Oryctolagus cuniculus: one gene and its partner. The protein of the gene in region 2 interacts with the protein of the main gene of each other region in a pairwise test. Links are inferred from orthologs where the notes say so. Each region holds a gene or a part of one and is shown on either strand. Other genes may lie near its edges. The genes, in order: MACROH2A1 and ERICH2.

The links.
Region 1: the proteins of ERICH2 (region 2) and MACROH2A1 interact in binary tests that used the Homo sapiens proteins (3 or more experiments, as listed by UniProt). The two-hybrid records come from large-scale screens. The link is inferred for Oryctolagus cuniculus from reciprocal best matches to the Homo sapiens genes ERICH2 and MACROH2A1.

Annotation. Positions count from the first base shown.
Region 1 is NC_091437.1:23,470,513-23,474,326, forward strand, and holds part of MACROH2A1 (core histone macro-H2A.1), read right to left. Parts: intron 2,083-3,814; coding exon 1,908-2,082; intron 1-1,907. UniProt on the Homo sapiens protein: Variant histone H2A which replaces conventional H2A in a subset of nucleosomes where it represses transcription. Nucleosomes wrap and compact DNA into chromatin, limiting DNA accessibility to the cellular machineries which require DNA as a template.
Region 2 is NC_091434.1:70,336,498-70,340,311, forward strand, and holds part of ERICH2 (glutamate-rich protein 2), read right to left. Parts: intron 455-3,814; coding exon 306-454; intron 1-305.

The DNA of each region.
Region 1 (3,814 bases), on a different chromosome or scaffold from region 2:
TTTTACTCCATGAAAAATGTAAATAAGTTCGTAATAACAGATGCTCTTTTATGGGAATTACTTTTATGCTTCAATTAAAAATGTCCCCATAACCATATGAAAGAGCGTGAAATTACTGCTTCCAATAAAGGCCCTAGTGCCTCTCTTCGGAAGCACCTTTCATCAGCGCAGATCAAAGTGCATCCGAAACACTAATTAACTGAGCCCTGGGCGCAGCCAGGCAGGCCCTGCTGCCTGGCTTGCTGATAAGGAAGTCCGGAGTCAGGGAGGCTGCTTCACTCCCCAGAAGTCACACAGCAGTGCAGTGCCCCAGCGCGGACGTGCTAGGGCGAGCGAGGAGAGAGGATTACGGCCTCTCGCAGTGATCCAGGAGCGCCCTGACTCTGCTGTGGGCCTGGGCCTGCAGCACCGAGGTCCAGACTGCCTGTCTCTGCCAGGTACTCTCAGAGCCTCTAGACGCGCGCTCTGTTAGCTGTTGCTTTCAATATGCACTGAAATGGTGCTGACTTTTAAAAATGATGTTCCACATATGCGCTTGGCAAGAGAGACTGGAACGAACAAGCATGTAGTAACTGAACATGTAGGTGCAGTACACACACACGTGCTGAGGAGCCGGCTTTGCAGGCACGGTGGCTGTGGGGTGCGGCCCAGGCCCCACATGGCTTTCCTTCGGGGAAGCCTGCTGCAGCCGCACAGAGCACACCCTTGAAGTGCAGCAGTGCCTGTGTGCATGTGAAATGACAGGAAGCACACCCAGAGCTAGTTCTGTCACTTGAGATGGGGACCTCAGTGATAGCAGTGTCTACGGAGGCAAATTCCGAGGCCCACTGAAGCCGGAAATGGCAGAATCAGCTCTTGGAAGGGAAGTGCAGACAGGGAATGCTGTAGTATCAGGTACGGTTCTGAGGACTGCTGCTCACAGGGACAGCAGGGCCAGGCCCCACACAGAACCCAGCCGGTGGCCCCTCCTAGGTACAACATGCTCATAGCTGGACGCTTTGCTCCCGCAGCCAACCCAGAGCCTGCAAGGGCCCTGCTGATGCTGGGAAATGAGACAATTTCAGATGCGGTGCTGCCTCTGTCCCCCGCCCACCGGGCCCTTGTCGCTACCTCCTGAGGGTGTCTGAATTTGCAGAGCACCCCAAGAGGTTGCATGGAGGTGCTTAGGATCACTCGGGTGGGGACTGTCCGGCCCTGCCAAGGTGGGACTTGAAATCCAAACCATCTCCAGCAGGCTAGTTTATAGGCTGACAATTCTGCATGGCCCATGAATGCTGGCACAAATACCCAAATGGCACAACAACATTGTGTTGTCTGGCACAACAACGGTTCCCACCACTGACACAGCGCGTTAGTGGCTGAGCCAGGACTCGCAGCAGGGCAGAAGGCTGTGCTGCTCCCACAGGCTGGCTGAGTCCCACCTGCGTCCTGCCTGTCTGCATTAGGACCCATTGTGGATGGGAGGCGAGGCTGGGCCCAGCCCTGATTCACTCTTAGCATTCCCTTCTTCAGGCTGAGGGACAAAGCCCTAACTGGCGACAACTGACCCTGGGAACCAGTCACCCTGCCCGTGCTTGCCACCCACTGGAATCTCAGTAACCCCTCTGTGGTGACATCTGCTGTCACTCTCTCCAGCTGGCCCCGCAGTTGCTAGATGTAGGCCCCCCAGGGTGTGCTTCTGTCTCCCCAATGAAGACAGAGCCCCCCGACTGGGGCCTATAGACTAGGGGCAGGGAACGCCGCAGCCAGGACCGGAAATTCAGTGCATCTGGGGCAGGCTCATTTTTGTACAACCTGCAAACAATGTCACAAATCCGTACATGGTCCTTGGCAGAAAAAGCATCCCCCACCCCTGCTGGACACAAAAATACACCGTGACCTGCATGGCAGCACTGGTGTGCCCTTACCTGCCACTGCCAATGGACGGAAATGCGATGGATTTCAGCTTCTTATCATCGGCCAGCGCCAAGCAGTTTTTCACTGTCTTTTCCAGGAGTTCCTCACACTTGTCCGCACCCCAGACTGGGCTGTTACAGTGGATCACAAACTTGGCAGGCAAGCCGTGGCCTGCACTGACGGCAGCTGGAGGGGACGAGACCAAGAGTGAGTTCAGCTGCTCCGCACACGCAGGCCCGCTCTGCTGCCACAGTAAATCCCCTTGGCCCTGTGTCCAAGGAGGAACACAGTCACCTGCTGAGACTGCCAGCAGGCGCTCAAACCACCGGTGATGCTCAGCACTTCACCCTTTCCCTCGGGGACAGCCAGCACCCTGGGAAAACTGGCATCAGGGAGGCACCGGCACGAGGAATTTTCCTAACTTGAGCAAACATGTTGGAACGTTTGCAGCCTCAAAACACCTGCCTCTTTCTGTCTCCTCCAGCCTTTCCTCCAGTGGATTCATGTGCAGATAATGCAACTCTTGCCAATACCATGCAGGACAAAGCAACCTGTGCACGCCAGCAGTTCCGCAGCCAGACTGGCACCTCTGCTGCTGGACAGCCTCACTCTAGGACAAACGCTGCTGACTATGGGCAGAGTTAGCTTGGTTTTCTCTAGGATGGATCCGGATCCCTGTCCCTCAGGTACACTGTGGCCAAGTCCTGCCTCGGATGACCGAGGCCACTCGACAGTGCAAGGCTGAAGTGCTGGCCTTCACAAACCCAACCCTGGGGTGTGTAACACGCTAACTCGTGTGCTGCTCAAGAATGAAAACCAACAGGTGAATGGTGGTCATCGTTGGGCAGTGGCATGGGAATATTCTTTATTCTCTTCTTAAAATTTCCAAAATTGACAACAACAAGGGCGCAGCATTGGGTGCAGCAGTCAACATGCCACCCAGGGTGCCTGCATTCCGTTTTGGAGTACCTGGATTTAAGTTGCTCTCCACCTGTAATCTCAGCTTCCTGCTAATGTACACCCTTGGAAGCAGTCTCAAATCCTTGGGCCCCTGCCACCCATGTGGGAGATCTGGATGGAGTTCCAGGCACCTGGCCTTAGTCTGATCTAGGCTTGTCTTGACTGTTGTGGGCATCTGGGGAGTGAACCAACTGATGGAAGACCTCTTTTTCAAATAAATAAAACCAAAAATGTTGAACATAAATACTTTGACTGACATGTAGTCTAATGGGTTAGCATCAGCTCGGTTTACAGGGGAGTTTCCCAGGCACCCTCCCAGGAGGACTGACACTGGAGCACTGACGGAAAGTAGCCTGTGGGCCACATGCAGGCAGGGGCAATAACGCTGTGTGTGCCCTGCCTCGCACAATGTGACCATGTAGGCCTCTGTGGAACTTCCCTGAAGAACAAATGGAAGGAAGGGGCAGAGCTGAGCAAAGGGAATGCCACTCTCCTTCTGTGAGGCCTTGAGACTGGCCGAGGATGAAGCCAGCAGTGACTGGGCAAAGAGGGGCATGGTCAGGTGAGCCCTGAGAGTGGGTTTGTGGGGGGTCACTGCGTAGTGACTGCCGAAGTCCACACTTAGTTAAGAAAGAAAGAGGATTTGACAGAATGGGCACTGGGGATCACACAGATGCAGAGAAAACCAGAACTCTATGGAAGGAAGGGGAAGGCCAGTGCTATCACACGCCCTGCTGGCCACCGGGATTGCAAAAGGCGGGCCTGCAGTCTGCCTGCAGGTCCTAGAGTCCCCCCAGTTCCCACTCAGCCTCTTCCCTCTGAGGAAGGGTGCAGCTGGCACAGGAGAACTATGCATTCACGAGCTTCCCACAACAAACACGGGCAGCAGACCAACGGGTACTGATCTGCATTTCCCACTCCCACTACCTGAATTCTCAGCTCCTCAACTCTCCGAACG
Region 2 (3,814 bases):
TTGCTATTTTATCTACAGCTTCTGGCACACTGGTTTTCAACATTTGTTAAATGAATGGAATTGGTTAATGCTTTCACGGGTATGTGAATTCATTCTAAGATTTAAGCCCTATCATTGTCATCTTATGTAATGTATACTCAAGGATCCTACCCCTGACTGTATCAGAATCACCAGTCAGTACACGATTTGAAAAACTGACTCCCAAGACTTGCTCCAGACTTCGAGTTGTCAGCTCCCAAAGGCTGCAGAAAAGGAGGCTGAATTAGAAGCCACAGTTACTCAATTCATAAAACAAATGTTATTACCTGTGCTTTCTTTTAAGAAGGAAGAGGACCATAGGTCAGATTGAAGACTTGTTACGGTATCTTTATTTTTAATACCCTTTGAAGATACTCTTTTTCCAGAATGCTCTAAGGAAACTTTATTTTCAGTGATCTTGGAAGAGACTTCTTTCCTAAGGATTAAGAATATAATGAAAAAATACCTTCTTAGGTTAAAATTGTTTGATGCTTTCTATGGGTTCACAAACACATACACTATTTTTGATACAAACACACAATTTAATATGCCAACAATACAATGACTAAAACATAGCTTCTTTGTGGAGAACATTACAAATAATTTGTGCTGATGATTAAAATTCTACTTCTACTTGACGTTTGTTGTATATCATTCTTAGAGTCTTTTCAGAGTTCTTTAATATAGAGCACATAAGCAATCAGTTATATAAGTACCTTTAGTACATGATTGTGATACAATGAAAAAACTATTTAAGGAAATTAGTCGAGATTTTTTAGGTTTGAATGGATTCCTGTCATTGCTAAATATTTGCTTTACTTATGGAGAGAGTCCAACATTAATGTTAACCCTTAATCATAATATAGCCTTGTTTTGGAAATGCAGAGTGGCAGAGAGGAAGAAACACACCCATACACACAGATCTTCACTCCTCAAATGGTTACAACTGTGCCACACAGAAGTCAGGAGCCAGGAATCCATCCAAGTCTCCCATGTGTGTGGTAGGGGCCCCAGCACTTCATCTGCTGCCTTCCCAGGCTCATTAGTAGGGAGCTGGATTGGAAGTGCAACAACTGGGACTCGAACTGGTATTCTGTTATGAGATGCCTACACACTGCTACATATTAGGCCCTAAAGTAGCCTTTTGTATTAAGGAGCTAAACTTCAATTGGGTTAACTTTCTCTTTTAGTTTTCAAGACTGAAACAAAGCACTGAGACTTGTATGGTATTCTGTTTACAAAGACAGGTACCTATGCTTGTGGAAAATAACCCCAAGTCTCTTTTTTGAGGTCTTAAGACTCTACCAATATGTTTCCTTCACAAATTTTTTTTTCTTTTTTTATTCAACCTCCAGTTTGCATGGAAAGATGTAACAAGGTATCGAGTACTGTATTTCCCCCAGAGTTATGGGGGTTCTGTTTTTTCCCCACTGGATTGTGAATCCAGAACACTGTCAGTTAAGCTAGTGGGCTTGTCCCCTGTAGCAAACAGGTTGCCCAGCTTGTGAAATTCTTAACATTACAGGAGGGAATGGAATCTTTGCATCCCCAGTAAACACAACTAAAGCGAAACCCTCTCTGGAAATGAAAAATGCACAGCAATGATCAACATTTGTTCTACTTTTGCCTACTGCTTTTCCCATTGTGAAAGCAAGCATCCAAGAGGATGCTGAGAAGTTACGAAAAGGAGGAGCTGAGAAGTTACTGAAATATTCACTGTCCAGCATGTGAGATTCCTGTTAGGCAAAAGGTCACTATACAAGTGACTACCAGAATTTAAATGTCTACTTTTGAATGTAGGTATTAAGGGCTTTGATGCTATTCCAGTCTGAATTACAATATTTCATTGAATCTAAGATAACAGCCATTCATTATAAGGTATACCATTTATGTATCACTAAGAAAAAACTGTCAAATATAAAAGCACATCAATTGTAAGATGTTAAAGTATGAAAAAAGTGTGCTTTAGAATCTATAAAATATGGAACTTATATATTTATATCCTTAAGGAAGGGAATTTAGCAAGTACAGTTCTGAGTATGTATGTATTTGGAAATGCCTTTTATAATCTTAGTGAAATACACATGGAGGTATCCAACAATACTCAACAGCCTGAGGATAAATGGAACGTTACCACTTGGAAGCAGTGATCATGCAAGAAAAATACCTAAACAACACTTGACCAAATTAGGATTTTTTTTTTTTAACTTATTTGACAGGTAGAGTTAGACAGTGAGAGAGACAAAGGTCTTCCTTCTGTTGGTTCCCCCGCAAACGGCCGCCATGGCCAGTGTGCTGCGCTGATCTGAAGCCAGGAGCCAGGTGGTCTCCCACATGGGTGCAGGCACCCAATCACCTGGGCCATCCTCCACTGCCCTCCCGGGCCACAGCAGAGAGCTGGACTGGAAGAGGAGCAACTAGAACCCAGCGCCCATATGGGATGCCAGAGCCGCAGGCGGAGGATTAGCCAAGTGAGCCACGGCACTGGCCCCAGGAATTTTTTTAAATTAAAGATTTATTTATTTGAAAGGCAGATTATTTTACAGACAGAAAGAAACAGAGAGAGATCTTCCATCCACTGGTTTACTCCCCAAATGGCTGCTTTGGCCTGGGATGAGTCGGGCTGAAGCCAGGAGCTAGGATCTTCATTCAGGTCTCCCATATGAGTGGCAGGGGCCCAATCACTTGAGTCATCCTCTGCTGCCTTCCCAGGCACATTAGCAGGGACCTGGATTGGAGGCCCAGTAGCTAGGACTAGAACCAGCTCCCACATGGGATGCCGGCACTATAGGCTGTGGTTTAATCTGCTGTGCCACAGTGCCAGGCTCCAAATCATGAATTTAGCAGGGAAAAAACATTCCTATTTGCTTCTTTTTTGTAGTCATTCTTATATAAAGTTTCAGAGGATCAGAGGTTCCAAGTTAAATTTTCTCTTCAACTAAAATCTCATAATTTCCATTTGAGAAAGTGATATGATTTACGGCAGTAAGGCCTCCAACCTTTCAGGAAAAACATAACTAGTCCACTTTTTTTTTTTTTTTGACAGGCAGAGTGGACAGAAGAGAGAGAGAGAGACAGAGAGAAAGGTCTTCCTTTGCCGTTGGTTCACCCTCCAATGGCCGCCGCACTGCAGCTGGTGCACCGCACTGATCCAAAGACAGGAGCCAGGTGCTTCTCCTGGTCTCCCATGGGGTGCAGGGCCCAAGCACTTGGGCCATCCTCCACTGCCTTCCCAGGCCATAGCAGAGAGCTGGCCTGGAAGAGGGGCAACCAGGACAGAATCCAGCGCCCCGACCAGGACTAGAACCCGGTGTGCCGGCGCCACAAGGCAGAGGATTAGCCTAGTGGGCCACGGCACCGGCCCCACTAGTCCACTTTAAAAGATTTGTTTTCATTAGCTTTAAGTTAAATACAGTTACAACCAAGAAAAATTCAAATCTTGCTTTATATAATAATGTCCTTTGGAAATGGAATGTATTTAATTTAGTACTTACTAAAAGGGCTGGCGCTGTGGTGCAGCAGGTTAAAGCCATGGCTTACAGCACCGGTATCCCACATGGGTGCTGGTTTGTGTCCTGGCTGCTCCACTTCTGATCCGGCTCTCTGCTATGGCCTGGGAAAACAGTAGAGGATGGCCCAAGTCCCCGCACCTGTGAGGGAGACCCGAAGAAGCTCCTGGCTTTGGATCAGCTCAGCTCTGGCCATTGTGGTCATCTGGGGAGTGAACCAGCAGATGGAAGACCAACCCCTACCCCTTGGCTCTACCTTGCTATGTAACTCTGTCTTTCAAATAAAT